Linked DNA regions of Rhinolophus ferrumequinum. The main gene of each other region encodes a partner of the protein of the gene in region 2 in a complex. Links are inferred from orthologs where the notes say so. Each region holds a gene or a part of one and is shown on either strand. Other genes may lie near its edges.

Region 1 (7,104 bases), on a different chromosome or scaffold from region 2:
TTTATTGGTATCAGAATTACTGGGAGAGCTTGTCAGAAAGGTAGATCCCCCCCCAAACCCCACACCTCCAAAGTTCTGAGCAGCTGGAGGTGCAGTCACATTGGGAGGTTGGGGGTGGATGGAACTGATGAACTCTGATACAAACGGGTGAAGGAAAGAAAAGAACAAAGAAACAGCTGAAAAAAATATGGAGGAAAAGATGTATGGAAGTGAGCAGAAGCACAGTAGCAAAGAACCATAAAATAACAAACATAGCTCAAAGAGCTGGGTGGAGCAGCAGGAGCCAGGTGTGGCAGGGCACATGAACTCAGTGAGAAAGCATGTTGGCACAGGCTTCATAAACCTCAGCTCTCCCTGGAGTCTCTGCTTGGAGAACACCAAGCTAGCCAAATAAAATTCTCAAAAATTCCAAAATACGAGGCTGGTCAAATGGGCCAATACCCAAGAAAGAGTGGCTACAAGGGACGTGGCCAGGCATGATCCTGCAACACTCTTTTCCCGTGGGTGCAGCAGCTGTGGGGTATGAGTGTGTGTGTGTCTCAAGATCAGCACAGACTGGTCCTGGCACCCCCAAACTAGGGGTGAGCTCCCTGGGCAGTGAGTCTCGCCTGCTGGCAATGCTTTCAGCCTGGTCAGTGTCGGCTCTGGCGCTTTGCAATCTCCTCCTGGATGCGCAACTCGAGGGCCTCTCGCATGGATGGATCCAGAGGCGTGTGTGCTGACACCTCCTCACTCACCCTTCCTGGGTCATCGTCCTATGTGGAGGAAGAGTCAGGAAGCTCAGGGCCTGGCCTCTCTGGAAAGGCAACCTGCCCTGTCCCTAGACAACACTCTCAAAGAATTCTGACTTACAACTTCTTGCCAGTGCCTGTCATTTCCCAGGTATCCCCTGTAATAGTGATTCTCAACTGAGGGCCACGAGCCCTCCCTGATGCTCACTGAGAATCACCGTGTGACAGGAGTTGTGCTCAAAAGCACTGCCCAGCAGTCTGTGCTTCCATGTGGAGCAGACACTTCCCTTTGGCCCTGATGAAAACAGTGACTCAGGGTCTGGGAGTGATTTCTCCCATGTCCCAGGACCTTCAGGCTGTAGTTGTTTCCACCAGGCGTACCTGATACACGATAACTGATGTGATTTCTCCGCTGTCTGCCTCATATTCTAAGCAGAAGAGCTGATGGCCAGAAGGCTCTGGCTCCGAGCCACCACTACTGCTGCCGTCACCGGACTCTTCACAGTCTGGGTTGCTTGGGTGGGTAGAGCCATCTGGAAGGATGAACCAGAGTGAGAAGGAGGAGAGGAAGGCTGCTGGAGTTCCTGACCACAGATAAAAGCCCCCATCTTTTTATGAACCCTGTGTGTGTTTGTGTATATATGTATGTGTGTGAAATGTGCCACCACTCAGTTTCACCTTTGTATCCCTGCTCTAGGGCCAGCACAATCCTGTCACACAGTAGGCACACAATGCACATCTGTCTAATGAATAGGGTTGGTAGGCAGTTGAAAGGCGAACAGAGCTCTGTCTGGGTTCAAGTCCAGGCTCTGCCATTTACGAGCTCTGAGATTTTGGGGAAGTTACTTAACCTCTCTGTGCCTATTTTCCTGACTGTGAAACAGAAACGATGAACAGTTCCTAACTTATGCAGTCCTATGAAAACATGACAACGTACAGAAAACTTCAAAGCACTTTAAGTCATGCTCACGAAGTCTAGCGTCGTACGTTAACTACTGCAATCGCTACGTCCAGGGAAGCTGGGAAAAAGGCCTGTTACTGGGTTTGTCTTGCCGGTTCCCAGGTATGTCCTGTAACAGTGACGTTTAATTGGGGGCCATGAGCCCTTCCTTTCCTGTCCTCCAGGAAAAACAATCACTGAGCGGAGACTGGGGAGCGTCGAGGTGCAGGTTCCAGGAAGGAACGGGATGAACTGAATGAACCCTGGAGAATAAGAAGGTTTTTGTTTTTTCCCATTTAGAGAAAGGGAGTGCATTGAGGCCGAGGGCCAGTGGCCAGCGCACGCTGGGAGGCAGGCTGGACGGGCGGCCTCACCTCGGTGTCGCGGCAGGTACACTGGCAGGTCGGGCTTGCGGGGCCTCGTCGGAGCGGGCGTGTGTCGCCTCCTCACCTTCTCCTTGGCTGCCTGCTTCACCTTCTTGTCGTAGTCATCCCTGCGGAGAGCCGAGCGGGAATCAGGGACAGCCCGGCTGCGCTGGGCTGGGGGTGGGGGAACGGCGGGGGCGGGGCGGTACCGGGCCAGCTGGTTCCGTCGGATGTGGTGCACGAAGCCGTGGCTCATGTCCAGCCGCCCGCCAGGCTTGCAGCAGAGCCCCGGCCCGGGATCCGGCGTCGCTGCCATCGGGAGCCCTGGGCGCGGAGCCGCCGCCGCCGCCGCCGCCGCCGCCGCAACGGCTGCACTAGTCACCCTCCCGCCGGGAGAGGTCGGCACCGCCTCTCGCTCGCCTTCCGGCCTCGCACCCCGACCTTCCGTCGGGAAAGGGCCGTGGGGCCGAGCGGCGCCGCGCGCTGAGTTCCAGGCGCTGACGCGGGGGTAGGTGGGGCGTGCGCGACTTCCACGCCCTGGGCGGGACTTTTCTTTGTGACATGGAGAAGAAACAACATTTTAGGTTTACAGCTGATAACGTCAAACAATTCAGCACCCATGACACCACTGAAGGTCCGGTGTGGAGCCTTCCCGTCCTTTCTCTGGGGGTAGGGTGTTGTGAAACTTGAGTCGCTGCACGATTTCGGCTGACTACCGGACCCCGCGGGGCCTCAGTTTCCTCATCTGTAAATGGGGACTCGGAGGGCACCTACCTCAAGAAAGGTGGTGAGGCGAGTGCTCTGGCAGGGCCCCAGCGCCGGGGCTCTGCAGCCGGCCAGCCGACCGCCCAGCTCGGCGCCCACCGGCCAGCTGTCTTAACTGCTCCCGCGGGAGGACTCAGGGCTTTTCAGGGGTCTGAGCGGGCGCCCCCTTCCAGTCCTCCTTAAAAGAATAGACAGAATTAGGAATTTGTCATTAGAACAGGGACAAACATTAGGAATTTGTCATTGGAACAGGCACAAACTGTGGTGCACCCACACAGTGGCATACAGCTGAGCGATCTCAAGGAACGCGCTGTTGCTACGACGCGGATGAATCTCAAAATAAACGCGCCAAAAAGGACACCCGGGTGCTTCCTGTACGTGCAAGTCTAGAACACGCACACTAACCTGTAGTGACAAAGCAGACACGTTTGGGGCTGGCGGGGAGGCTCCTTACGTTGATCGTGGCGATGGTTTCCGAGTGTACATACATCCATCCCGGCAGGATGGAGCAGATCCCACACTTTAACGTGCGGTTTATCGTATGTCAAAACACCTCAGTAGAACTTTACAAAGAAAGCAGTCTCGGGTCCTGGAAGGGGGTCGCGAGTCACAGGCCCTGAAGCCTTAGCTTTATTAGCGTCACTGTAAGTCCCCTTTGTTCAACGTTTCCATTTGCCTGTGACAATATGAACAACCCTCTAAGTGTGGAATTATATAGACTCCGGGTTGTTGCAGGAAGGAGATGATTTGGGGATGTCGCCTAGTTCTCCTGTGCAAGGGGCGTCGGTCTCCGAAGCCCGGAGACTGTGGAGATGATGCCCCCGCCCCATGCTGGTTTCGGGGCACAAAGTATATTGAAGATACCTGGGGTATCTTCAATGACAGCTTCCTTGATCCAGATATTATGCAGCCAATAAAAAGTTCCTGCCTCTTTAAGCTGGAAATTTCGGGTAAGGTGGCAGTAGGCCCGCAGATCGGTCTCAGGTGCGCACGCAGCCGCAAAGAGGCCACAACAGAGGCAGTACCGGTACTTCCCAGTTTCCTCCGGTATAATTTGTCCCCTTCGGCGACTCGTAGAGAGCCTTGGGCTCGGTAACAGCGGCGCTCTCGATTGGCTGTTTGCGGCGCCTTCGAACGTGCCTAGCTCCTGCGCTGGGCGACTGGGCCGGTAGTGGCGATGTCTGGCCGGTCCAAGAGGGACTCTCGTGGTTCCACCCGTGTGAAACGCGAGTCCGAGTCACGGGTCAACTCGAGTCGCGTCAAGCGGGAGCGAGATCGGGAGCGGGAGACCGAGGTGCCGAGCTCCCGGGGCAGTCCGGTGCGCGTGAAGCGGGAGGTCGACCCGCCTAGCACGCGCGAGGCCCCGGCGCCCGTCATCCCGGCTGTGCGGGTGAAGCGGGAGCGCGAGGCGGACGAAGACTCCGAGCCTGAGCGGGAGGTGCGAGGTGCGCGGGGCCGGGCTGGGCGCGGGCTCTACTCACGCGTTCTCTGTTTTCTTTCCAACCTTCCCGGGGTGGGTCTGGAAATCCACACTTTACCAGTGTCCGAGACCCGACTCGATTGGCGTCTTAATGAAGATGCTACTAGTCTTAATAATAACTATAGTTACAAGATTTCTAACGACAACAGCAGCTTTCCTTTATCGAGTGCCTAACGCGGGCCAGGCATTGTGCTTATTATTTTACAGGTGTTATGTCCTTCAGTTTTTATAAAACACCTGAGGATTGAGTCTTGCTGTAATTTCTGGAATTAAAAGACTATTCAGATTTGAGAGCCTGAACCCTGGTCGCCTGCACCCTACTGCCCTGTTAGCCAGACCTTAGCAGCCAGATCAGGCTTGTAATCCTGCCTCTCAGTTTGAATCCCGTTCCTCAGTTTCCAGGACTGTGTATCTGTATATGAATATACTCATATTAACTCTTACATTTTTTTAGCTCAGCGTCCTGTATTTGACATTTTGCATCACACACAGGATCCAGAGTAGTCCCTTGCTCATAAATGCTTGACAAATATTCTTTGCATAATCTAGTTAGTAATTTCAAGGTATTCTCTAATTTCCTTTGCTTAAATACTCTGTCAGCCTCAGATTTCCCTTTCTTTAGAAGAGAAATTGTTTCTTAGATATTTTGCATAGTTGTGGTATGGAGATTGTTTTCTCTGGGACACACTTGGATCCCAGTTGTTACTGACTTGTCTTTTTAGTTTTCATTTTATTTTTATCATGGACTAGATCACAGGTACCAAGATGTACTGAATGTAATGCAGAAGTACAGTGTAAAGAAGTGTGTGGATGTACATTCTTAAATCTGCGTGTGAAGAATTGTGAAGGGTCTGAGATTTCATCCTATTTGCAAGCTACCAAGTTAGGCTGCTTTCCTTTCATGCTGAAGGAAGACATGGGACTATTGGGCCTGAGACGGTTTATTGTTACAGCATTAACAGTAGCCAGAGTGTGGCATTGGTGTCAGTTCCCCAAGTCAGTTCCCACAATGCAATATGAAGGGAACCCATTTGGCCCAGTGGGTGGCCCTACAGTAGAGGAATTCTGAGCTTCCAGAGCCCGAGTCTTTTATAATAGGCTGTGAGCTTGCCTCCCCTTTGCTCTGTAGGGAGATAACTATTTCTGTCTTCCAAGGTTGTTCACTATATAAACATCCTTGATAAGATCCTCTGGATGGAGTTAGTGCCTCTGTTCACAGTATGTGCAGAAACACGAGAGACCCCTGGAGAATTGTTTCCTAACACTGTCAGCTTAAGAAGTGGTACATAACCTTGGAAGTTCCCATAGGCTCCTCCTTAGTTGGATATATGCTTTCCTTCCTTGCTTAGGTAATCACTATCCTGAATTTTTTTCTAATCACTTCTGTTTTTGTTGTTTATAATTTCATTTTGTATTTGGTATAAGTGGAATCATACTGTGTAGTTTTCTGATTTACCTTTTTTTTTGTTTTTGCTGGCCATATTTTTGAGGTACATCCAGATAGATGGCTACATAGTGTTCCATTAATGATACACCAAAATATATTTTTCCATTTTATTTGTGGGGGACATTTGGGTTGTTTCCACTTGGGGCTCTTTCAAGTATTGATGCTGTAAATATTTTTTAGTAAAGTACTCCTGGTGCATGTGTGGAAAAATTTCTCTAGGGTATATAGATAGAGAGATTGCCAGGTCAAAGGGTCTGCATATTTTCAGGTTTGATCTTGCTGTATTATTTTCCAAGAGGCTGTAACAGTTCTCGCTCCCACCAGCAGTGCGCAAGCATTCTCATTGCTCCACATATTCGCCAGCATTTGGAATTTTCTGATTGCATTTTTCCCCCCTGATAGGTGTGACACACATCATTGTGCAAGATTTGCATTTTCTTGATTATTGATGAGGTTGAGCATCTTGTAATATGTTTGTGGGCTGTGTTCCTCATTTTATTGTGTTGTCTGGCTTTTTTTTTAATTGCTTCAGTACATTTCTCCATGTAATTTGCAAACAAATAATTTGTTGGGGTTATATGTGTTTCTAATATATTCTCTCTGTGGCTTGTTCCATTAGTGGGTTTTTTTTGGGTGTTGCCAGGCTACCTGTATAGGAGCTCCCCTTGATTAGTTTTGCCTGTTTCTTTGTACTCGTAGTTGCCCCTGAGTACGGGTTTCCCATTTTCACAACCTGTGATGACTTTCCTTGCAGCAAAGAATGGCCGGGTGGATTCCCAGGACCGGAGGAGCCGCCACTGCCCATACCTGGATACCATTAACAGGTCAGTAGGACAGGGATGCCGAGGGCAGCAGCAGAACAGCGGAATCTAGGCAGGAAGCTCTTGGGAAGTTCCTGTTAATCTTACTGTTAATCTTTGCTCTTCAATTTAAAGTGTCAGAGGGCATGCTGTTTTAGGGTGGGCACATGCATAAAGAGCTTGTAGCTCATTTTGAATCCGTGTGATGAAATATCAGGATACGTAGTGTCAATGATGATAGCAACTTTAAATATTCATTGAGCACCCACTATGTGCTAGGCTCAACTCTAGATGCCTGGGATTTACTAGAGAAAAAAAGAGACAAAAATATGTCCTGAAGCAGTTAGTTACCTCATCCTGATACCCTTTTTTCTGATCCCTTATGGCATCTCAGGATGCTTTTCAGTTTACACCCTGAGGCACAAGCCACTTGTGCTGTTGAGCACTTGAAATGTGGCTTGAGGGACTGAATTTTAAATTTTATTTAATTTTAATTATTTTAAATTTAAGCGCCAATAATTGTGTGTGGCTAGTGGTTCCTTTATAAAAGAATTTTTCATTTTTTTATGTCCTTCC
Region 2 (7,719 bases):
AGGACAGAGGGACAGGGTGGCATGTGCTTGAGCCAACCCTTCAGGAATCCTCCCTGCGTCTCCAGCTCTGCCTCCCGCGTCCACGGGGGACACGAGGGGCTGGCAGCAGCCTCAGTGGTGAGAACCCACCTCGCTAGAGCACTCGGGCCTCTGGGTGGAGGAGCACTGCTCCCACGAGGAAGGGGCAGGTGCTCACCCATGCCCTCTGCTGTCACTCCTCCCAGGCCGCCTCTGCCAGCCAGCCCCAGGCCAGCACAGGGAAGCCTGGCCAGTGCCTCCAGCAGGGCCTGTCTATTGACAGTTCATGACCAAGGAAACTGAGGCTCGGAAAGGTTGCAGGGCCCCTCCGGTAATGCCCCAGATTCCAGAGGCCCCACAGCCTCTTGAGTGTGGCCCAATCCTACCTTGGTCTCCCAGCTGAGGTCCTCCTACCCCCCCAGCTGGCTTTCTGCAGATGAGTCTCCTAGAGGGCCTCTCTGGACACCGGGGAGGGAAGGGGGACAGCCACAAGACAGACGAAAGCCCGAGCCCGAGGGCCGGCAGTACTCACCGCCTTGCCGAGGTCGTGTGGCAGGTGTGCCCACTGTGGGTTGTAAAGGATGCAGTAGTCCTTGCCTTTGGGGCCCCCCGTCTCAGAGACCACACGCACCATGCCGTACTCACAGGTCACCTGGAGCAATGGGGCAGGGAGGGGTCAGACCAAACAAGGACAGCCATGGGGGTCGGGCTGGTTTCCTCCCTCCAACAGGACACATGGGGCACAATCGTACGTATCTCAGGGGGGAGAAAACGAGGGAGGGTTGCAAGCTCAGGGACAAGTGTCCCCAGGGAAAGCTGGTGTGACCACGGCCCTGCACCCTCCTGGCCCGACACGCGCTCTGCACGCTTCGTGCTCCTGGGGCACATCCTTTTGCAGCCTTGCTGTCCTTGGGCTACATATGCCTCCAGACAGAGCCAGAGAGCCTGCCACGGAGACAAACAGGTAGCAGCTGCTGCCAACAATGGGCACATGATGGGGATGGATGCCAGTCGGTACCTCAGGACCCATACCCATAGCACGGATGCTGCTTTGCCAAGGTGGGGGCGTCCACCTTGATGGGCCGTGGGCCCTGACACCAAGCCTGGGGTACGGACTGGCTCTCAGACAGCCAAGCCCTCCGGGAGCTTCTCATCCTGGCCTGGTTACCTAGTGGTGGTGAAGGCGCCCTGACCTCACAGCCCGGAGGCTGACACCAGGCGCCGGTGCAAGTCCCGGCCCCACAGTCCCCGACTGCCAATGCTCCAGCTAGCCCAAGTCATCTCGGGCACTTCCTTTTGTCACCTTGAGTGAGGTGCCAACTGCCAAAGCAGTGCTCACAGGTACCAAGCTCCAAAGAAGCTGGGTGTGTAGGGCCACTGCCACGAGCACTCACAGGAGAGGAGGGTGGGGCGGGGGCTGCCTGAAGCTGACGGAGGCGGTGTCAGAGAACTTCACTAAGGCAGTATCCTGCGCCCACCTGCCTCTGCTCCCACAGAACCTCCACACACTTCTCATGACTCCTCGGTCCCTTAATAGGGGGGCAGAATTAGGAGGTCCCTCTTCCAGGTTCTCCCCACCAGAATGCCCCCAAGTACCGTGCTCAGTGTATGCCCCTTCCGATGGGACACCCCATGATCAGAGCCACCTCCTGACTCTGGGTCACTGCGGGGAGTGTACGGTCCCTCAATCCTCAGGCCTCATCCGGCCCACCTTCTGTGTTTGCAAATAAAGTTTTATTGGAACATGGCTGCCCTGTGCCTGTATGCAGGGCTTCCGGCTGCTCTCGGCTACCATTGCAGAGTTGGACAGTTGCCCGCAGAGCCGAAAATATTCAGTCTGGGCCTTTCCGAAAATGTTTGCTGAGCCCTGATCCATGAGAGCTGGGTAGTTGGCAAAAACTGTCCTTTGTGTAAAATGGGAATGGGTAGAAACTAGTTCTTTATAAAAAGGACATTTAGGAATACACAAGCACACCTACAAACTTTCCTCCCCACGACTCGCACAACTAAACCTGTGCTGTGTCCAACGCTAGGGAGGGCATGGTTTCGCTTTGAATGTGGTTTCCTTGCCTGCTGTGTTAAAGGAACCAGAAGTTCGTCAAAAAGACCCAATGCTGCACGTGCCCGTGTCCCAGCACGGCCCATCCCCACCTGGAGAACCAGGACCAGCCACGTTCCGACACGTCACAACACCGGGCAGGTCCAGGAACTTCCAGGGGACCTGTGCTTTAGGGTGAGTATGACAGCATCCACCTCTGGGGATCTGAGGGAGGCTAGAGCCCAGGCTGGGGCAGTCTCCCTTCTCATAGGACGTGGTGAGTTCTGGGAGGCGGTGGAGAAACGAGGACCCAGGTGGGAAGCAGAAGTTCTGGTGGAGCAGTAGGGGGCCTGGGCCAGGTGGTGGTGGGGTTAGTGGAGGAGGGCAGGGTGGCACTGACATTAGTTAAGATCTGCTGCTAAGCCTCTTGTTCAGGCCTTTGTTTACACATCTCATAGCAACTGGGGGATGTGGGCCTATTGGGGAAGGTGAAAGCCATCGCCCAGATCTCAAAATGGTAGCGAGTGAGTTTAGGGCCCAGTGGGGAGCGAGTCTATTCGCAGGTACCAGGAAGAACCAGAGCACCCGAGGGGCACCGTCCGGTGTCAGGGTGTGTTTACATCCAGGGGTCTGTTCTAGGAAGAGCAGGCCCCACTGTGCTCCTCACTCTCTCCCAAGACTACATGCTAAGGATAAGCCTCAGCCTGCCTGGGATAAAGTGCAAAGGCCCCAGAACCATGAGCCGTCCACCACTCCCTGCCCAGCCCAGGGAGGCCACATACCCAGCCTGCCCCTTTACCCTCTGTCCTTATCATTTACTCCCGTGGCCCTCGAGCTGAGGGGGAACCCCAGCCTGCCCTTCCAGTGCACTCCCAGGGCCTCCTTTAGAGTGACATCTATCTCAGGACCTAGGCATCAGACCAGCCTCCACACCAGCCACAGTGGACCCCTCACCGTCCCCAAATAAGTCATCCGCTCTCACACCTCCGCCAGCTCGCGCTGCTCCGACCACCGGCAGTGCCCTCCCTCAGCCTGCACCACCTAGCAAACTCCGACTCCTACCTCAGAACAGCCCTGGGGCACCACTGCTTCTGAGAAGCCTTCCCACTCGCTCTGAGGTGTTCCCGTGCCTCTTCATCCCCTCTCTCTGCTCTCATTCAAAACGTGTGGAGAGCTCCAACTCCTGGCCCTCAGATTGCTCAGGCCAGTGAGGAAGATGATTAAACAGGCTCGGGGGAAGTACAGGGGCATCCCGGACAGCTTGGGGGGAGACAACAGCTAAGCTGACACCAGGATGACCCCGGCATTCCAGGGAAACAGAGAAAAAACAAAACAAAACAAAGCAGCTTGCCTCCAATAGAGGACAGCTGGAAAGGGAGGGGCACTTCCTGGTCAGAGGGATCAGAGGCCTCCCAAATGCACCAGGACGCCACCTGAAAGCTGTCATCTGGACAAGACCTGAGACACTTTGAAAGAGATCACTACTGTTGTGTTGAGAATGGACTGGGATGTGGCGGACAAAAGCGGCCACAGGGAGAACGCTAGCCGCCCGCTGGGAGCTACAGCGGAGAGCTGGTGGTGGGCTGGAGTGGGCAGGTCAAGGTTAATGGCTGTGTTTCCACAGCTGTTACGGGCACCATTCCCTGAGCTGCTGAATCCAGGGAGAGGAAGGATTTGGAAATAAAAGATGAGCTTATGACAATGTACATCAGCCATCTCATGGTCAGTCCCCCACCAGCACCAAAGACCCTTAACGTTAAATGACAAAAAAGTAGCATGTTGCGCCTGCATCACCCCATGCACTATCTCGCTGAGTCCGCGCTGTACTCTTATCTCCTTTTGCGGAGGAGCAACTGACGACCAAAGCGGGGGAACTCCTTTGCCCAAGGTCATGGAGTAAAAGTGAGAAGGAAATTCGACCCCCCCTCCAGGGCTGGGCTCCTGGCCGCTCCCCGACAGTGCCAGGCACTGGGTGCCGCGCTGGACAGCTTACCAGAACCCCCGGGGTGGGCGCTGGCATCGTGCTTAAGGGATAACTGAGGCGCAGCCACCAGGTCAAGGCTACGGAGCCAGACGGGAATCTCCGCAGCGGTTAGGACGCCGAGACCAGCAGGGCCCGGGGGACGAAGAGGGGCCCCCAACTTCAGACCCGCATGGAAATGAGTGACGCAGCGGCTGGGAAGGGCTTCCGAGGCGGGGAACGAAGCCGGGCAAGAGACAGGCCCGCAAGGTCACGGCGGGGCTCCGGGCCCGCGGACCGTCCGCGCGGGGGGCTCGGGTCCCAGAGGCTGCCCCCAGGCTGGGCCCAGCGGGGGTCGTGCGCGCGGCCGAGGACCGAGGGGCCGGGTCACCGCATCTGGCGGGGCCAGCGGGGCCGGCGAAGCCCTCACCTGGGCCGCGAAGAGGAGGATGGCCGCCGAGAGCCAAGCCACGGGTGCCGCCGCCGCCATGTCTGCTGGTCCCCGCCGCAGGCGTCGCCAGATGTTTCCCAGCAACGCCCCAGCGCGGTGCGCCGCGCCGCGCAAGCGCCGTACACATTCTGCGCGTGCGTGAGTGGCGGGGTCAAAGGGCACGACGCCGGCGCCTGCGCAGAGTGGCGCGACACAGCAGAATGGCGGTGAGCGCGAGGCTGTGCTTGCGGGGCCGAAGGGGCGGGCTGCGCCAGGGCTGGCGGCGCTGTTCGCCTCACACGCTCTGCTTCTCCTGCAGGACAAAGAGAAGAAGAAGAAGGAGAGTATCTTAGATCTGTCCAAGTACATCGACAAAACGATCCGGGTGAAGTTTCAGGGAGGCCGCGAAGGTGAGGCCCCCCCCACTCCGCACCCTCCGAACGGTTAACGAAAAGTAACACGCGGCGATAGTGACAGCTGATGCCCGGGCCCAGCTTAGGCGCTTGGCCCAGATGACTCGCGCAAGTCTCCTAGCGACGCCGGGAGTTCGGAGGTGGTATACCCCTTCTGCGGCTGGGAAAACTGAGACATGGAAAGGGGACCAAACTTAATCCAACCCACAGTGGGTCGTCCGAGGTTGAGACTTTGCCTCCTGTGCGGTTCTGTCGCTGCAGCTCCTCACTGGTCTCCCTACACCAGGGTTCCTCAGGCTCCGCACTGTTAACGTTGGGGTCCGAATGTTCTAGGTCGTGGGGTCGGTCCTGGGCACCGTGGGGTGTTGAGCAGCATTCCTGGCTTCACCCAGTGTCCCTTGGGGGGCAGACTCGCCCCCGTTGAGACGACAGAGCCCTACAGTGAGACAGACTCCCGGTGTGGACTAGAGGAACCTGTTAAAAACAAATCAAATCTTGTTTGCTGTTCAGCTTTCTGGGGCTCCCCATTGTCCCAGGGTAAGGACAAACCTTTTGTACCTCAGAGTAACAAGTGGAGCTTTCGTCGGCCACCGGGCTGTAAAGGTACTATTTTCTCTCTGCCTGGAGTACTCTTACGAGGTTAACTTGTTACCTGGTTAACTGCCAGAGTCGTTTTCCTGCTCTCAGCTCGAGGCCCTTGCTCTGGGAAGCCTTTCGTGACCCTCCAGCCGGGGCTAATCCCCTTCGTCATAACCTTCTGGTAGCACCTGTCACAGTTTGCAGCTTTATGTGTTAACATGGTGCTTAACTGGAATCTAGTGAAGAGAGGGCAATACAGCGTCTGGTCCCCACCTTTCAGGGAAAATGGGCAAGCAGAGTGCTGACATAGTGGGGTACCTGCCTCCACTAGGTGAGACCAGGGCAAAGGGAGGCCTGGAAGAGGAGGGGTGGGAGGTGGAGCGTTACAAGTAGAAGCACAGGTGGGTGTGAAGGTCTGAGGCCAGAGAGAATGGTTGGGAGAGGCATCAGGGTGGAAGGGTGGGTGGCCTGTCCGGGGCACGCAGACCACACCCCCTCTCAGGTGCCAAGATACATCACTTGGTCAAGGAGCCATAACCTAGGATGCCTATTTGTTGTTTTAATTGAGGTAAAATTCACAGAACATAAAATTCGCTATTTTAATGTATGCAGTTTAGTGGCAGTTGGTACCTGCCTCCCGAATGACTCTTGATCTTACGCCTTTCTGTTTCGTTTTTTGGTCATTCCCACAAGCCAGTGGAATCCTGAAAGGGTTTGACCCGCTCCTCAACCTTGTGCTGGATGGCACCATCGAATACATGAGAGGTGAGCGCAGCCAGGGGGCTCAGAGGCCTCCTTGCCGGGCCTGTGTTACTGTCCCAGACCCACTCACCTGCCGTCTTAGTGATGAGCACGGTCCTTGTAGAGCAGGCCGGTACCGGGTGTGTTTCATCTCCCACCCACCCAGCATTCCAGGCAAGCTCAATAGGCTGTTGTCTGGGGACTCAAAGGATGTGGAGGCGTTTTGTGATCCACCATCACTGGTCCTGAGGCCCGTGCTGGGCACTAAGAGCGTACCCGGCATGGTTAGAAAGATGTCAGCCAGTCTCCTGCTGTCACCATGTGTTCACCCCGGTTCCTGTCCCTCCAAGTCCCCAGACCCTTCGCAGCAGCCCACGGCAGTCAGTCTGGCTCATCCTGAGCCAGGCATTAAGGGGATGCCAAGGCCTAGGAAGGAGGGAGGGAGGGAGGGCGGTGTCCCTCAGGGGACCGTCAGTGTCTTGACACACACGTTACTCTGGTGAAAAATTAATGGAGCCACACATGAGTGTCACGGGGCCAGAGGGGAGAGGCCCTCTTTGAGGGAGAAGCATGGTTTCCGCTTAGCCAATCCCGGGGAGCTTCTCTCTGCCCTCATCTTTTCTCTTCCTGCCTGGGTCTGCCTCCTTGGGTGGATACATTTCTTCGTCTGTAGGACAGCTTCACTGCATGGGGCCCGTGGGGAAACCAAGTCAGCTTGAGTGTGCAAAGCACTTAGGGCCATTTGGCCCTAAGAGGTGTGGCTGCTGCTCCTTCCTCAGAGTGTCTCCTACCAGGCGGCAGACTCACTTGTTGAGTGAGTCTGCGTCCCCAGCGGAGGCCTGACACACCGCACAGTTCCCGGGAGGGGAGGCTCAGGCCCAGACAGCCGTTGTCCCTGCAGGATCTGAGGGTAGAAGACTGCCTTTCAAATCTGCCTGGTTTCAGCGGGCCACCTGATTCTCCCCTCCCCAACATCTTGCAGTAACAGTGATGAGGACTTGTAGTCGCTGTCACCTCCGAAGAGCTCCCCTCGAACTTGCTGTTACTTCCATGGGGTCCCTCTCACCCTGCCATTAACTCCCCATTGACACGGGTGAACGGGCCCCACGGGGCTTCTGCCATTGTGCAGAAACCCAGAGCCCCAGACCAATTTGTATTCCAGCTGCCCTCTGTTGGCTCGGTGCCAGTGCCCCTGTTAGCTCCACCCCATAGCCCACGGTCCCCCGGGTCTCTGTGTTCTCACTTGCAGAACCAGGGCAGGCTTCTCCCCTGAAGGCTGATGCAGGGAGAAAGGCTGCATGTCTGGTTTGGGAGGTATTTGGCCTGCCGCCCGGCCAGCATGTCCCCACCGAGGTCCTGGAGGGAGGGGGGAGGGAATGATCGGGGTATCGTTCGATTTGGGTCTTCAGACCCCATCCCACCCCAGGCTCGGTGTCAGGTCCTCACTCCCGCCCTCTTCCGCAGACCCCGACGACCAGTATAAGCTCACGGAGGACACCCGCCAGCTGGGCCTGGTGGTGTGCAGGGGCACCTCCGTCGT
Region 3 (7,157 bases), about 42 Mb from region 2:
CCTGAGACCTTCACTTTTGAAATCCAAGTTATACTAAAATGCTGGCCAATGAAGTCGGAGCATTTATTTAAACATTTCAAACATTATATCTGGAACCAAGTACCTGTGATGCAGAATATGTCCCATCTTATGAAAAATAAAAGGCACACCGACTTTCCTGAGAAATTTGTCCTTCAGTCAATAAGTTTATATTACTTCTCAGAAGATATTACAGTAAATACAGTGTTGAATAACATAAACACTGGCCCTGCACTCACAGAGAACATATGAGGGAGAAAACATACACACACACACACACACACACACACACACACACGGAGAGTTATTGAATTGTGGCATTTACAAGTGGTACAAAGGAGAAGTATAGTATTCTCTGATCATGAACAAGAGGAGGAATATCTAGTGTGAGGGATTATCAAAGGCTTTCTCTAAGAAATTTATGTTTGAGTTAAGGCCTAATGTCTGATTAGGAGTTGGCCCAGTGAAGTGAAGAGCCTGGGCTCTAACTGATGAAACCAGTTTTAAAGCACTCGCAGTCACCCAGAAGATGATCAAGTCAATAGGAGGAAAAACGGAAGTGACAGTTTTAAGGCTTATGAATACAAGAGACAAGGCATTGGCCCCATGTGGGGTAGAGAGTTGGAATTGAGACTCTGCATAACAGTGAGATGCTTGAAAGGCTACACACACACACACACAGAGAGAGAGAGAGAGAGAGAGAGAGAGAGAGAGAGAGAGAGAGAGAGAGAGGTATTTAACAACTATGTGGTGTCTTTCTTTTCTTTTTCTTTAACACATAGGTTTTTTAAAAACTTTTATTTATTTTAAGTGTGTTTTTCCAGGACCCATCAGCTTCAAGTCAAGTAGTTGTTTCAATCTAGTTGGGGAGGGCGCAGCTCACACTGGCCCATGAGGGGACTGAACTGGCAACCCAGGGGTTACGAGCATCATGCTCTAACCAACTGAGCTAACCAGCTGCCCCAACACATAATTTTTACATCCCATGATAAAAGATAGATAATAGTGGTCTGAATACCCCGAACTAGAATATGACAGGTGAGATGTTTTTGTTGTCCAGTCCGAAGGTCCAGGAAAGGTCCAAGTGCATGCCAGCAGTTCATACCAGTAATGCATTGCTGGAACAAGACCAGCCAGTGTTCTTAGAAGGATAACACTGATTTAGGTATTAAAGTCTGCTTTGGAGACTGTTGGCCAATGCAATTCCACATTTGTATCTGTCATTGTTAGCATAATACAACCACCCACATGTCCACAAAGCTGTTTGTTGGATGTTTTTAAAAAATAAGCTAGACATGATACTTTTTCTTATGAACATGAAACACTGAAAAACAGTTTTCTAAAGGCATAGGACTATAGAAGTGCGGAACAAATAATAGAATGGTGAGCGTGAACCTTAGTATTTTTATACTAGCGTTTGCCTATTTTGACAATAATAGCTTCAGAGAACGAGAAGATAAGCCACAGACTGGGAGAAAATATTTGCAAAAGGCATAGCTGATAAAGGACTGTTCTCCAAAATATACTGTCAACAATAAAAAACAAACAGTCCGATTTAAAAATGGCCAAAAGATCAGAAAAGACACGTGACCAAAGAAGACATATAGTTAGCAAATAAGCATATGAAAAGATGATCCGCATCGTCTGTCATCAGGAAAATGCCAACTAAAACTGCAGTGAGATTCCACTACACACCTATTAGAATGACCCAAATCCGAAACATTGGAAACACCAAACCCTGTGCAGATGTGGAGCAACAGGATCTCTGATTCACTGCTGGTGGGAATGCAAAATGCTACAGCCACTTTGGTAGACAGTTTGGAAGTTTCTTACAAAACTAAACATTCTCTCCTTATACAACCTAGCAATTGCACTCTTTGGTATTCACCCAAAGAGTTGAAAACTCAACCCATGACTTGAAAACTTATGTCTACACAAAAACCTGCATACAGATGTTTATAGCGGCCTAATTCATAGTTGCCAAAACTTGGAAGCAACCAAGATGCCCTTTAGTGAATGGATAAATTCTGGTACATCTAGGCAATGGACTATTATCTAGCGCTAAAAAGAAATGAGCTATAAAGCTATGAAAAAACATAGAGGAACCCTAAATGCACATTACTAAGTAAAAGAAGTTGATCTGAAAAGGCTACATGATACTGCTTGATTCCAACTTTATGATATTCTGGAAAAGACAAAACCATGGAGAAAGTAAAAAGATAGTGAGTGGTTGCCAGTGATTAGTGGGGATAGAGGAGGGATGAATAGGCAGAGCACAAAGGATTTTTAGGGTAGTGAAAATACTCTGTATTATACTGTAATGTTGGATACATGTCATTATATGTTTGTCATATAATGTACAACACTAAGAATGAACCCTAATATAAACTATGGACTTAGGGTGATAATGGTGTGTCAATGTAGGTCGATCAATTGTAACAGTTAAACTAAATTAAACTATGTAAGCTAAACTAAAGTTTGTCAAATTATTTTTATGACCTTAATAAATTACTGTTTGTGTTCCCGTGTTTGAAGACTAGTCCTTGGTGGACTAGTATTCAGAAAAAATCTTGCACATGTTTTCTTTGTAAAATTACAGATGCTAAAAAAATAACTTGTGAAATATGGAAAGTTGCTTTGTGAGTTGAGAAAAGCTAATTATAAGTTGCTGAGAAGGTTCTGGGTACAACCACATTTTGATAAATTCGTTAGCTTTTGCAGTCATTCATGGCACCCATCTCGATTGTCTAGTTGGGCCCTTACAGATCCATGCCCCTTGGAAAGGTTGAAGCTACCTCTAGAGATGAACCATGCCCTTAAAATTCCTCATTGCCCCCTGACCACCATACCAGTTTTAATGGCTCCATCGGGGCTCTGTGGTAAAAGGGAAGAATTAAAACAAGAATGTTTTGAACAATTCAAACAACCAGGGAGAACTGTGGTACAATTTGACGTCTTTTGTGAACATTTTTTAGGGATAGGGCTTTGTATCCTACTATGTTCATTCTTTGTAGTTATTTTAATTTAAATAAAACTTTACTTAATATTTTGGTTTACGTTATACTTTATACCGCAAAAACTTCAAATATAGTCTTTCAATAAACCTGTGATGCTTTATCTTTACCCAAAATGAGCTTTTATATGAGGATATAAGAAAGTCTCTCTTTTCTACCAAATCAGAGAATGTTTTGGTAGAACATGCCTATGTTCTCTGAACCATACCAATCAAAGGTTCATGCTAAGAGATAGGCTTATAAGAGGGGAAAAGCATTTTTTTGTCTTAGAAAAAAAATTCTGCATCTTAGATTCTATAACGCTTAGGGTTAAGAATCTGTTTAAAGCTGTTATCACTGTTTATAGTGTTCTAAATTATATAGAATTAAAGTTTAAGTTGATGAGGGCATGTGTGTAGAGATAAAAGGAATCAAGTGAGTATGAGTTTTCCTCTCCCTTTCCATTAATTACAAGAATAGAGACTTCATGCTAAATTCCAAACCAAGTTCCCATAACAGCACTTAAATAATGCCTGCCCACCATTTCCAATTAGAACTAGTTTGTAACGTACCTCAATTTATGCCATTATAGTAGAGCTACTTTAGTGATTTTGATTCTTTTTGTGTCAATTAACGTTGCCACGGAAACAATCTCTTGCTAATAATGGCTTCGCCTTCACACAATCAAAATCCAGAGGTGGATTTAGAGATTTGAGGCCACTTGTTTTATGTATTTATTTGCATTAAATTATTCAAGGACATTTCTGGATATGTATAATCATTATTTTAGCAGTAAATCCCAGTTTCCTATGACTTCAAGCTATTTCTTACATGCCTGCCTAAAAGAAGTCTTGGCTGAAGATCACTTCCTCCTTTTCTTTTTACGTGTTTTTTTTGGGGGGGATGGAGTGCTTTCCGTTAAAGGAGAGCACACCAGCGCTTTCCACTTGAAGCCCACAGCACCAACTTTGCCTTTAGGCAAACCAGGATTCTTGGATTTGCGCGCCCCTGCAAGACCCGGTCTTTTTGGTCCCGCGGGCCGCCATAGCCCGGGAAGCACTGATTCGCTGAAGGAGAAAAGTGCGGCTGCCTTGGTGGTTTCAGTTTCGGTTTCATCCCGCTGTCGGCGGAGGCGGGGCTTGTGGGGCTCCCAGAGTGGGGGTTCCGGATCCCGGCCGGCAGGTGAGCTCGCGGTCGCGGGGGGCGTGGGAGGCCCCAGTGTTCCCTAACCCCGGGCCGCTTTGGGGAGTAGCAACTCCGGGCCGGCCCGGCAGCCCCGGGAAGGAGCGCCCATCCCGGAGCCTGCCGGTGGCGGGTTCCCCCAAATGCCGCGCTCACGTTCTCTCCTGCGCGCCTAGAATGGCTGGGAGGTCTCCGGTCGTGGGGTCTGGGGTCCCTGAGCCCGGCCCTGAGGCCCCTCCCCGGGGGGCGCTTAGACCGCGCGGTGAGGAACGGCACCGGCTGGGCTGGGGGGGGGGGGTGTAGTTCCGGAGGTCCTCCTGGGGATTCGGCGGGAAAGCGGACCCCGGCCACGGGGCCAGGCCTGCAGCCCTGCGTGGTGGCGCCCGGCCTCCGGGAACGAATTGCTGCGCCAGCTCACCTTACCGCGGTTTCAGGTTGGGGATGCCCACGACTGTGTAGTGTTAAGCCTGTCACCGGGGTTTTGTGTGTAGGGGCGCGCGCGCGTTCATAGCAGGTATTTTTGTTCAGGGTGTCTGGGGTAGGGTGATGCAGATAAGGTTGATCGCGATTTAGTGTACCCCCTTATTAATAGGAGACTGTTGTAGAAAAGCTGAAAATACGGAAGTTCAGTGAAGAAAATCATTCACTGAACCCGTCCACCAACAATTTCTTGCTATATTGTACTCTTGCTTGTGCTCATTTCTCCTTGAACTAAGAGCACTCATTTTATCACTTAACACTATATTTAGTTTTCCAATTTCATTTAAAATTTTTTCTTAAATATCATCTCTAATGTTGTATCCTTTGATTGTTCCGTCATTGTGTAGGTCCCATAAAGTTCTCAGGCATTTCCCAACTGTGGGGCGTTTAGGGTATTTGTGAATTCTTGTTTCAGTTTAGCATCTCAGATAGTACTTTGATAAACTCCTTTTTAAAACTGATTTCAGAGTATTTACTTGGACTAGATTGTGAGAAGTAAAATTGTTAGAATAGATGCTGTGTTCTAGTAAGGTCTTTTTAGGTCTTCATGCCTATTGCCAGATTGTTTTCCAAAATAGTTTTAGTAGTTTACATCATTCTTGTAGGATTGTTCCTGTTTCACCAAAAGTAGTGATACATTTCCAGTACATCAACCAGGAAAGTTGAGCCTCTCTTTGGATTTTTTTTTTTTTTTTTTTTTTTTTTTGGTGCTGTCTGGCAATTCTGCTTGCTTGAATTTTGTGAAGGAATCTTCAGAGGTTATGTTTGTGTGTGGGAAGTTACTGCATAGGCTGTTAGATCACTTTAGTCATCAGCTAGCATAACTGCCTTATTTTGCAGATGAGGGACCTGGGGCTTTGTTTGAGAGGTGAAGTGATGAGTGATGGGAGAGGCACAGCAAATTAAGTAGCAGAGCGGGATTAGAACTCAGGTTTCCCACCTCTCAAGGGCGTCAGGTGATCTCTTACTAAACTGGCATACTCAATATTAGAATTTAAAAAGATGTTTACATCACTTGGATTATTCTGTCCTTTTAGAATTTTACCAGGTAACAGATTTTAATCATCTCAGGGATCTGTGACACTGAAAAATGGGAAAGTGACCATCTTCATGGCCAGGACTGGGAATCCATTATTTAGAATGTCAAGCCCTTCAAGATTTTTTGACAGTTGTTTTCAGAGTCTCTAAACGTTGGAATAAAATTTCTAATAAGTTATAATTTATATTCTATCATGTGGTTAGAACTTAAATGTTTGTTCCCATTTCTTACACCTTGAAGGTTTTTTAAAACTTCTTGTTGCGTTAAGACCAGAGAACAATGGTTTTTTTGCTAATCGCAGAGTTTCTCCACCTCAGTTGACGTTTTGGGCAGATACTTTTTTGTTATGGAGGGCTGTCCTGTGCTTTGTGGAAGGGTAGGCAGTGTCCTTACCGCTACCTACTATTAGGTTGGTGCAAAAGTCATTGTGGGTTTTGCGATTATTTTTAACCTTTTAAACTGCAGTTACTTTTGCACCAACCTAATAGATCCCAGTGGCACCACGTCCTCATTCAGGACAATCCAGAATGTCTGCAGACATTTCCAAATGTCCCTAAGGGTAGGGGGCAAAATCCCCCCGGTCAAGAACTACTTGCTTCTAGGGATTATTTGGGAAACTTTATATAAATTCCAGGACCCCTTCCCTAGAGGGTCTGACTAGGAGTAAGCTGCAGGATCCTGCATTTTAGCAACATCTCTGTTGATTGGGCTGCAGCTGGTTCTTGGACAACACAGAAACGTTTGTTTCCTCCATCCTTCTTTTATTTGGTGCTCAGTAATAGAGATGTGCCTGTGTTACAGCTGCTGAAGTGCATGGACTGTACTGTCCTCGTCACTCCGCGGAGCTGGGCAGGGGAGGGACAGGCTGGGCTTGGCACAGCCCTTAAATGCCTCTTCCTTAGGCTTGGGCCATGTGCTTAGGTACCAGGGATACCACAAGAGTAAGGCATTTTCCCTGTCCCCGAGAAGCTTAGAACCGCGGGTGGGAGACTGGTCAGCCGGAAAGGAAGGCTCTGTTTAGAGAGCTGTCCTCAGTGTCTGAGCTTTCCCAGACACAGATGTATTCGGCTAAAGCTGCATTTACTTGGGTTGTAATGTTATGTTTCATAACAATTTTTTGCTTTTCAAACTTTTTTTCACCCTAAACTTTAAATACTCTAAGAATAGGTGAAACTTTACAGGTAGGCATTTCCAAGAAACAATGATTTGCATGTCTTCTGCTCAGTGACATAGCTCAAAATCACATTGGATATATTTCTTTCCGTTTGACCACTCTATTTCTTCGCAGGCTGATTTACAGTACTTTGTGACTTTAGGTATCCTTCCCCCTCCCTTCCCCTCCCAACCCCCCCATGCTACTACTCTAGCGAGATCTGTCTCTGGCCATTCCCCAGGTATAACACGAGAACCTTGACATATTCAAAAGGGCAGCTGTGCCTTTGAAA
Region 4 (7,960 bases), on a different chromosome or scaffold from region 2:
GCATACATATAAATTGAGAAGAGATAAGTTGATAAGTGAAAATACTGGGATAAGACAGAATAATGATGACAGAACCTGCATTCTCAACCACTATTCTACACCGCCTCAAAAAGAATTCGCAGTCTAGATCTAAGCTTTGCAGAGCACAGCTGTAACACTAACTAGGCCCTAACATTAGAGATTCCACTGAGAAGGAATCAAAAGGACATCATTCATGGATGAGGCTGCAATGAGCCGGGTTCATTCATTCAAACATGTATCCAAGGACCATTTCTTAGTGGGTTTTGTGTTCCCAGTGCCTGGTATACAGTAGGTACCAAAAGTTGTCTTGAACGAGTGAACAGAGCCTTACTATTTGCCAAACCAAGGCAGAGAAAGAAGACAGAAAGCATTCTGGTCTACAGAATGAAGGAGGAGGAACTGAGCTCCACACAATACGCTGGATAGGTCAGAAGATGGGAGACTTTCAAATGCCGCACTAGTGGCCCACGCTGCCCCCTTTCCACCCAATTTCTGGAGTGACTATCTTAGACAGATGCTACTTCCTTTTTGAACTCCAGTCACGGATCTGTTGAGAAAATGGCCAAATGCAGGAAAGAGGAAAAATAGTAAAAATCAAAGAAAAACACAAAAAATAAAAATGGACTCGTAAAATATGAAAGCTAAAGGAATTATTGAGATCATTTGGCCCATTATTCCTATTTAACTGAAAGTGAACTACCAGGGAGCAAGTGACTTGATGCAGGCTGCTCACAACTAGCCAGGCTGGTACTAGACCCCAAGACCAGTACTTACTCTTCCACGCCATCCTATTCTTTCAGTCACTAACCCTGAAGGCCCCTTCCAAGTCCTCTAATAATAATGGCCAATATTCGAGTACTTCCCATAGGCCATGTATTAACCTAAGAGCTTTATTTGTCTTAACTAATTCCCGTTTTGACCACCCTATGAGAGAGGCAATTATTATTGCCATTTTACAGATGAAGAAACTAAGACATAAGCAAGGCTAAGTAACTTACTCATAATTACAAAACTATGAATGATGCAGATGAGATTCAAATCCAATTTACAAACATTTTTTTCTTCCCTTTCTAGATTATGAAATCTTCTGAGCATGCCCTTGTCTTGGCAGCATATTCTTCAAATCTCCAGTGCTTAGCAGTGTAAAGCACACAGAAATTCGTAACTGTTTACGGAAATACTGAAGCACTGAATTTTACCCTATTTTACATTGTTAGTTAATTCATCAATTCAGCACATTTACTGACGGTTATATGTCAGGCCCCATGCTAATAAGCACTTCATAAACCTACTTTCAATCCTAAAAACAACTCCACAAAGTAGGGTGTCCCTGAATTACAGGGATGAAGTAACTTGTCCAAAACTCACAGCTAGAAAGAGACAAATTTTAGGCCATTCCAAGGGCTATATACACTTGCCTATAAACCATCCTTTTCAACACAATCCCTGTACTCAGACTTCCTAATCTGGTAGGAATAATGGTGACCAATTACAACACGGTATGATCAGTGCTAAAATAGTGGCTAAGTTCCAAATACTAAGAAAACAAGAAAGAGAAGAAGGGCCTGGGGTGAAGCCGGGACGTTTACAAGGTGACAACTGAGCAGTCCTTGAAGAATAAGTGGGAGTCCTCTTAGCAGAGACTATTGTTATTTGACCTCATTAGAACCCTCATCTAGTGTCGTCTGTTTTCTTCCAATCTATCAGCCCTCTCCTTTTTCTTCACTTTCCTCCCTATCCAGCTTAGATTCCACACTCCATCATTCAAACAATACTGTGACATTCCTTTAACTGTCTTTACAGTTTGCCTATATGGCAAAACACTTACGCTGGTGGAGTAGAATTGCAAACATCAGAATCCATTTTAGCTAGGTTAAGGAGAAAGGGATTTACAGCCAGGTATTATGTGGCTTACAAAATTACTGGAAGGGCCACAGGGGCAGGCGCTGGTAGAACTTCCAGAAACAACTCCTAATCCCCCAAATAACAGTCTTTGCCACAATCAAGAAAGTCATGGCTATCATTGCAGAATGTCACTAAACCGGAAAGCTGTTGACTAGAGAAACTCACTGTCTCTGCTATATTTGCCAGCAAAACTGGATGCCACTCTCCTCTCCATATTTAACTAGTTTTCACATTCAATTCTCATTTTAGGTGCAAAGGAGTCCAGATCATTTCTAGTGTCCCAGACTTTTCAGCAAGAGAAGGCACATTAGAGATGGGCATGTGTGTTAAGCAAACCAAATCCACAGTCCCTGCCATACTTGGATGTTTTTTTCCATGCCTGCATGAAATAGCCTGATAGTGCTGTTAAAAAATTATGATCTCTAACTTAAAATGGGTCCTTAATGCTGAAAGACAATCCCTGATTTCTCTGGTAAATGCATTCTCTCACATTCTACAATGATTTCCAAATCTGCAGTCTTCTCAAATGCCTGACCTCATCCCACTCGAAGTATGTAATTCCCTCTTCCTTTACTGAGAAAATAAAAGCTATGAGAAAAGAACTCATTTTACCAATACCAAACATACAAATAACCTGTATCTATTGCCTACATTTCCTTGTTTCTTTCTGTTACATGGAGAAACTATTTCTCTTCCTAAGGCTACTCCCGTTAACTGTCCTTGGGATCCCATCCATTCCTATGTTCTCAGAACACGACCCGTGAACCAATTTCTCTCTTGCATATTCAGTTTCTCCATCACTCTCTCAATTCAATCCTTGGTGACCCCTCATCTTCTTCCGCTTCCGTATCCTCTCCTCTCCTTTATAATCATATGTATGAAAAATACTCTCTAGATTCACAGATTCACTGCCTCCACGTCCTTGCCTACATCTTTGCCTCATATCTGGCTTCTGGCCCCATCACACCAACAAAATAACTCTTCCTAAGGATACCATGAGCTCCATGATGATAGAGCCAACATATTTTTTTCAATTCTCATGTTATTTCAATTTCAGGAGTTTCTGACACAGACCACTTCTTTGCTTCGGAGACAGCATCCATCTCTGATCCTCCTCCTTAGCTCTTTCTTCTCTCTCTCTCGTAGGTTCATGCTCCTGTTCTTGGCCATGAAATGTTAGAACTACTCAAGGTTCTAGCTTGGGTGATCTTACCCACACCTGTGGCTCAATTATCACCTATAGGCAAATTACTCCCAAATTTGTATTTCCAACAAAAGTCTCTCTTCTGAGTTCCAAAGCCGTATTTCAAACTGCCTCCAGGATGTGGTGAACAAACTCTCCCTTCCCCTGCCAAAACAATAACAACAAACAAAACTATCCAGTTGAAGAAGCCAGAAACCTAGAAGTTACATTTGAGTCCTCTTTCACTCCGAGTCAATCCGTCACCAAGTTCTACTGATTTTACTTCTTATATACCTCTAGAAACTGTCCAATGCTTTGCAGTTCCAATACGTCACTCCTCATTGCCAACAACTCTCACCTAAGTGGTCTGTCTGCATCTCTCTCTCTTCCATCTGTTCACACTACTGAGCCTGAGGGATCAAGGCCCCTCCCCCATCACACCACCCACTGTCCATCAAAAACAGAAAAACCCGCAGTGGTTTCCCATCAGTTTTATAGCAAAAGCTACAAAGTCCTGAAAGACCTGACCGCTACCTGTCTCCAGCGTCATCTTGTACCATACTCCCCTTCATTCTCTTTGGATCGGTCACACTGGCCTCTATGCTTTTTAGTCATTTTCTTTCCATTTGTCGCAGGGCCTCTGCCCATGCTGTTCTATAGGGAATATTCTGCCTTCCTCTCTTCACCTCATTAATTAGAAGTCTTCCTTAGGTATCAATTCAGGCATCTTTTCCTCAGAGAAGCCTCCCTGATTATTTCAGGCACTCATAACATCATCCGATCCAGTGTGCACCTCTCCTAGGTCGCACTTAATTTGTACATTTCTTGGTGAGATTGTTGTTTAACATGTTTTCCCCATTGGCCTCAAACCCCTGAGGTCAGGGGCCATGTCTGGTTCCCAATGTATTCTCAACGCTTTGCACAATAATTATCAGTTGGGCGATTAAGAAGGGTATGAGTCGAAATTTCTCAACAAGACCGGGCTCTGGAGAGGCAGGAGTCAGACATCTCCTTCATCTGTCTCTCGCAGGGGCACAGAGCAGACCCTAGCAAAACGCTGCAGAATCAGTGGCAGAAACCAGGCAGCCTCCTCAGTCAGACAGGACCCTAGGGGAGGCTGGGTACAGGCCTCTTCTCCCTGGGAGCGCCTGGCACAGGGCTGGACGGAGTAGGCGCTTGATGAAGTCAGCCGTCGAGGGCCTCAGGCAACCGCAGAGACCCCACAGCTCGGCTCCAGTCTAGAAAGGGAACCCAGGGGCTACAAACCGGATAGGATCTCTGAGCCTGCCTCTCCCCCTAGCAATCAAACCTTCATTTGAGAAATGCCAGGTTCCGACCACACAACCCAGGCACCGCCTCCAGATGCCGCAGCTACCCACCTCACATACCCCTTATACACTTACCCAGCGTCAGCTGCAGGTCTCCCGACCGCAGCATTGCGCGAAACGCCAAAACCCAGTCAGCGCGCTTCCACCCACAAGACACAGCGCGCCCAGGCGGGACTCCAGCTCCATTCGCCAATCCCAGAATCGTAATCCCATGACATCAGAAAGAACTGACCAATAACAAGAGACTATCCAGAGGGCGGTGCAGAGGGGAATATTGGAAGCCAATTGGCTTCTCCAAGCCGGAAGTTCTAAGGGAAAGACTAAGTCCGAACCAATCGTGCGGTGTCTGAGCTTGTCGGCGCGGTCTGCGGCGGGGCTGGGGATAGTGGGTGCCGCCATGATAGAACAACAGAAGCGCAAGGGCCCAGAGTTGCCGCTGGTTCCAGTCAAGCGGCAGCGGCATGAGTTGCTGTTGGGAGCAGCGGGGTCGGGCCCCGGAGCGGGTCAGCAGCAGGCGGCGCCCGGAGCTTTGCTGCAAGCGGTGAGTGAAGTAGCAGGCGGCCGTCGGCCCTCAGCTCATCTTCCTCGCTCCTTTCTCCAGCATCGGGATCGGGTGATCCCGCACCTGCCCTCTCCTCCGCACTGCGGGGCGGAACGAGGATTTCTACCTGGAGTTAAAGCAGAAAAACTGTAAAAGCGGCGGACACCCTGTGAATGCTCCATACGTTACACTGTTTTCAGTGTCTCGACCATCCTGTGAGGTGGCGTTAGAATTCAAGTTAAGGATCTTGAGCTCAAAATCGGGACTGGGGTTTTTGCATCCTAAATCTTCCAGAGATTCTGCTTCGAGTAAACAAGCATTCATAAAAGTTTGTAGAGTGGATGGGTGAATGAAATAATGAATGAATGAGTGAAGGAAGGACATGAATGATACTGGCTCGCTTTGGAACTTTGAGCAAGTTGCTTTTCCCTTTATTTCTCTGCACTATTAACAGCCTAAGAACAGTCAACATTCATTGAGACCTTGTACTAAGTACTTTTTTAATGAAAACTCCATTACTCTTGGCCTAAGAGTTAGGAACTGTTATCCCATTTGTAGATGGAAAAACAATGTAGTAAAAGATTTTAAATTATAACCCATGCTCTTTACTACATTTCTTGTGAGATAGACGTAGTGTCACACCTCTCCTGTGCTATTAGACTCAGATAAAGAAATAAGTATCTTCTCTCTCAACGCTTCAAATAGTGGGTCAGCAAATTTCTGCTGGCATCCTCAAAATATATCCAGAATTGCTACCACTTCTACCACCTCCATCACTGACTCCTGATCTAAGCCATTATTATCTCACCTGGCATGACAGCAAATAGGGTCCTAACTTGTATTCTTGTTTTCTGCTCTTGTATGGTCAACCTATTCTCAATCCAGCAGTCAGAGGAATCCTTCTAAATGTCAAACTATGTTACCCTCTGCTGAAAACTTTTGGTGGCTTTCCACTTCACTTAGTGTAAAACCAAAATCTTTAAAATCTTTTGCCCCCTTTGCCTTTTTGATCTACCAATTTTCCATTGCTCACCCTTGCTCCAATCACACTGGCTTCTGTGTTCCTGCCTCAAAACCATTGCATTTGCTGTTCTCTCTACTGGAATGCTCTTCTTCCAGATGTCCGCATGGTTTACACACTTAGCTCCTCCAAATCTTCATTCAAATATCACTTTTTTAGCGAGGGCTTTACTGACTACCCTATTTTAAATTGCAGCATCCCGTACTCACTAACCCAGATTGCTGCCTGTTGTTTTTGTTCATAACATATACCACCACCTATATGTTTTACTTGTTTTCTCTCTCTCTCCCTCCTTCTCTTTCTGCTTCCCTAACTAGAACACAAACTCGATTGTTTCTTTTGATCAATACTGTTTTCCCAGTGTCTAGGATAGTGCCTGGCACATTGTGTTTTTTTAATAAAGAGTAAGCTGGAAACTACTGACAAGTTGGGGGGTTTTGAAATGTAGTTGTTTATCTGACAAGTAAAAATACCAGCCCAGGTGTCAGTGTATTGCCCAAGCTTAGCCTTAGTGTTAACACCATAATCAAAAGGGCTTTCTACAATAAGCTATACGCTGAAGGATGTTGGGAAGCTCAGTTCAATCGTTCATTCACTAAATGAGCTAGAACTTGGGAAAACTGGTGAATGACACAGGCAGGATCCCTGCATTCACAGAGCTTTTCTAGTGGGGGAAAAGAAAATATGTAAACAAATACAGAAGGAGGGTAATTTCAGGTAATGGTAAGCTTTGTGAGTGTTAGTGGAACACAGAGTAGAGGTGGGGTACTGATAGAGTTTGAGTGATCAAGGAAAGACTCTCTGAACAGGAAACATTTGAAAGCCGCCAAATGCAGGAAGCTCTCGGGGAAGAGGATTCCTGTCAAGGGCAACAACGAGTGTAAAGACCCTGAGACAGAAATGAGTTTAACATGAATAAGCAATTGAAACTTGGCTATGGGACAGGAGCAAAGTGAGGGAGGCGGAAAGTTAATGTAACAGGCAGACACTGGACACTTCAGCAGGAAAATATCATATGGGAGGCATAAGTTACGTGAGAAGAGTTATAGTTCTCTAAATCAGGAGAAATCCACTCACTCATTTCCCTTGTCTTCCCTCCACCACCACCACCACCCCCCACTCCCCAATTTTGCGGCCTCCTTTGCCTCGATGCAGTGACTACCCTGTATGTCTCTTTTTTGCTTAGGGGCCTCCAAGATGTTCTTCCCTTCAAGCTCCAATCATGCTTCTCTCAGGACATGAAGGGGAAGTATACTGCTGCAAGTTTCACCCCAATGGATCCACCTTAGCATCTGCAGGATTTGACCGACTGATATGTAAGACATAGTTTTTGAATCTTGAATAATCGCTGTCTGCCAAATAGCGGTTATTTTTTAAAACCTTTGGTGCCACAGAAGGTGTCAGTCTGAGTTGGTCACATAAGCTGGTGGCTAGCACGCTAAAATAGGGTTGTAAAAATGCTGACTGAGTTTGGTTGTAAAACTCAGGGTCTGTGTGGTAAATATAGGAGTTATGTTATTAGTTGGGAAGTGAGTGGCTCTCCTTTGAGAATATCTTCCTCATGGAGGCAAATCTGGAGCTGATTTAGCAAAATAAGAAATCTAGGCTTAACTGGCTAATGGGAGTATTGAGGAGAGAGATAACTTCCTTTCCCCGAAGGTGGGAGGCTGTCTTCTTGATCCACTCAGAATCTTAGCATATGGGAAGGAAGGAGAAAATCCTAAAGTGGCAGTTCAACTTGGATAACCTACCGGTACATCATTAGGATCTGCTGCCAGGTGCTTAGCTACTAGTAAGGAATACCCATTTGTGAGAAATAAGGAGAAAATTCACTTTGGGAGAGTGGTGAGAAAGAAGGTAACAGAAGCATCTGACATTGTCTTTGGCTCGTTGTTTATAACTCTATCTCAGGGTGGATGATAACTGTCTCTTTTAATTTAGGTGTCCTAGTTTAGGTGTTC

Evidence for each region.
Region 1: LSM7 (region 2) and USP39 share a complex: the UniProt entries of both Homo sapiens proteins name them as parts of the U4/U6-U5 tri-snRNP complex. The link is inferred for Rhinolophus ferrumequinum from reciprocal best matches to the Homo sapiens genes LSM7 and USP39.
Region 3: LSM7 (region 2) and LSM6 share a complex: the UniProt entries of both Homo sapiens proteins name them as parts of the precatalytic spliceosome. The link is inferred for Rhinolophus ferrumequinum from reciprocal best matches to the Homo sapiens genes LSM7 and LSM6.
Region 4: LSM7 (region 2) and SNRNP40 share a complex: the UniProt entries of both Homo sapiens proteins name them as parts of the U4/U6-U5 tri-snRNP complex. The link is inferred for Rhinolophus ferrumequinum from reciprocal best matches to the Homo sapiens genes LSM7 and SNRNP40.

Annotation. Positions count from the first base shown.
Region 1 is NC_046296.1:8,725,325-8,732,428, reverse strand, and holds the start of USP39 (U4/U6.U5 tri-snRNP-associated protein 2), read left to right. Parts: upstream 1-3,884; 5' UTR 3,885-3,978; coding exon 3,979-4,246; intron 4,247-6,482; coding exon 6,483-6,552; intron 6,553-7,104. Other genes in the region: C13H2orf68 (UPF0561 protein C2orf68 homolog), read right to left, coding at 633-755, 1,113-1,264, 2,046-2,164, 2,246-2,352.
Region 2 is NC_046301.1:60,955,555-60,963,273, forward strand, and holds the start of LSM7 (U6 snRNA-associated Sm-like protein LSm7), read left to right. Parts: upstream 1-4,559; 5' UTR 4,560-4,667; coding exon 4,668-4,673; intron 4,674-4,765; coding exon 4,766-4,856; intron 4,857-6,131; coding exon 6,132-6,203; intron 6,204-7,643; coding exon 7,644-7,719. Other genes in the region: SPPL2B (signal peptide peptidase-like 2B), read right to left, coding at 551-670, 4,447-4,506. UniProt on the Homo sapiens protein: Plays a role in pre-mRNA splicing as component of the U4/U6-U5 tri-snRNP complex that is involved in spliceosome assembly, and as component of the precatalytic spliceosome (spliceosome B complex).
Region 3 is NC_046301.1:19,253,151-19,260,307, forward strand, and holds the start of LSM6 (U6 snRNA-associated Sm-like protein LSm6), read left to right. Parts: upstream 1-3,965; 5' UTR 3,966-4,193; intron 4,194-4,200; exon of another isoform or gene 4,201-4,455; intron 4,456-7,157. UniProt on the Homo sapiens protein: Plays a role in pre-mRNA splicing as component of the U4/U6-U5 tri-snRNP complex that is involved in spliceosome assembly, and as component of the precatalytic spliceosome (spliceosome B complex).
Region 4 is NC_046292.1:21,444,084-21,452,043, reverse strand, and holds the start of SNRNP40 (U5 small nuclear ribonucleoprotein 40 kDa protein), read left to right. Parts: upstream 1-4,785; 5' UTR 4,786-4,834; coding exon 4,835-4,978; intron 4,979-7,185; coding exon 7,186-7,315; intron 7,316-7,960. UniProt on the Homo sapiens protein: Required for pre-mRNA splicing as component of the activated spliceosome. Component of the U5 small nuclear ribonucleoprotein (snRNP) complex and the U4/U6-U5 tri-snRNP complex, building blocks of the spliceosome.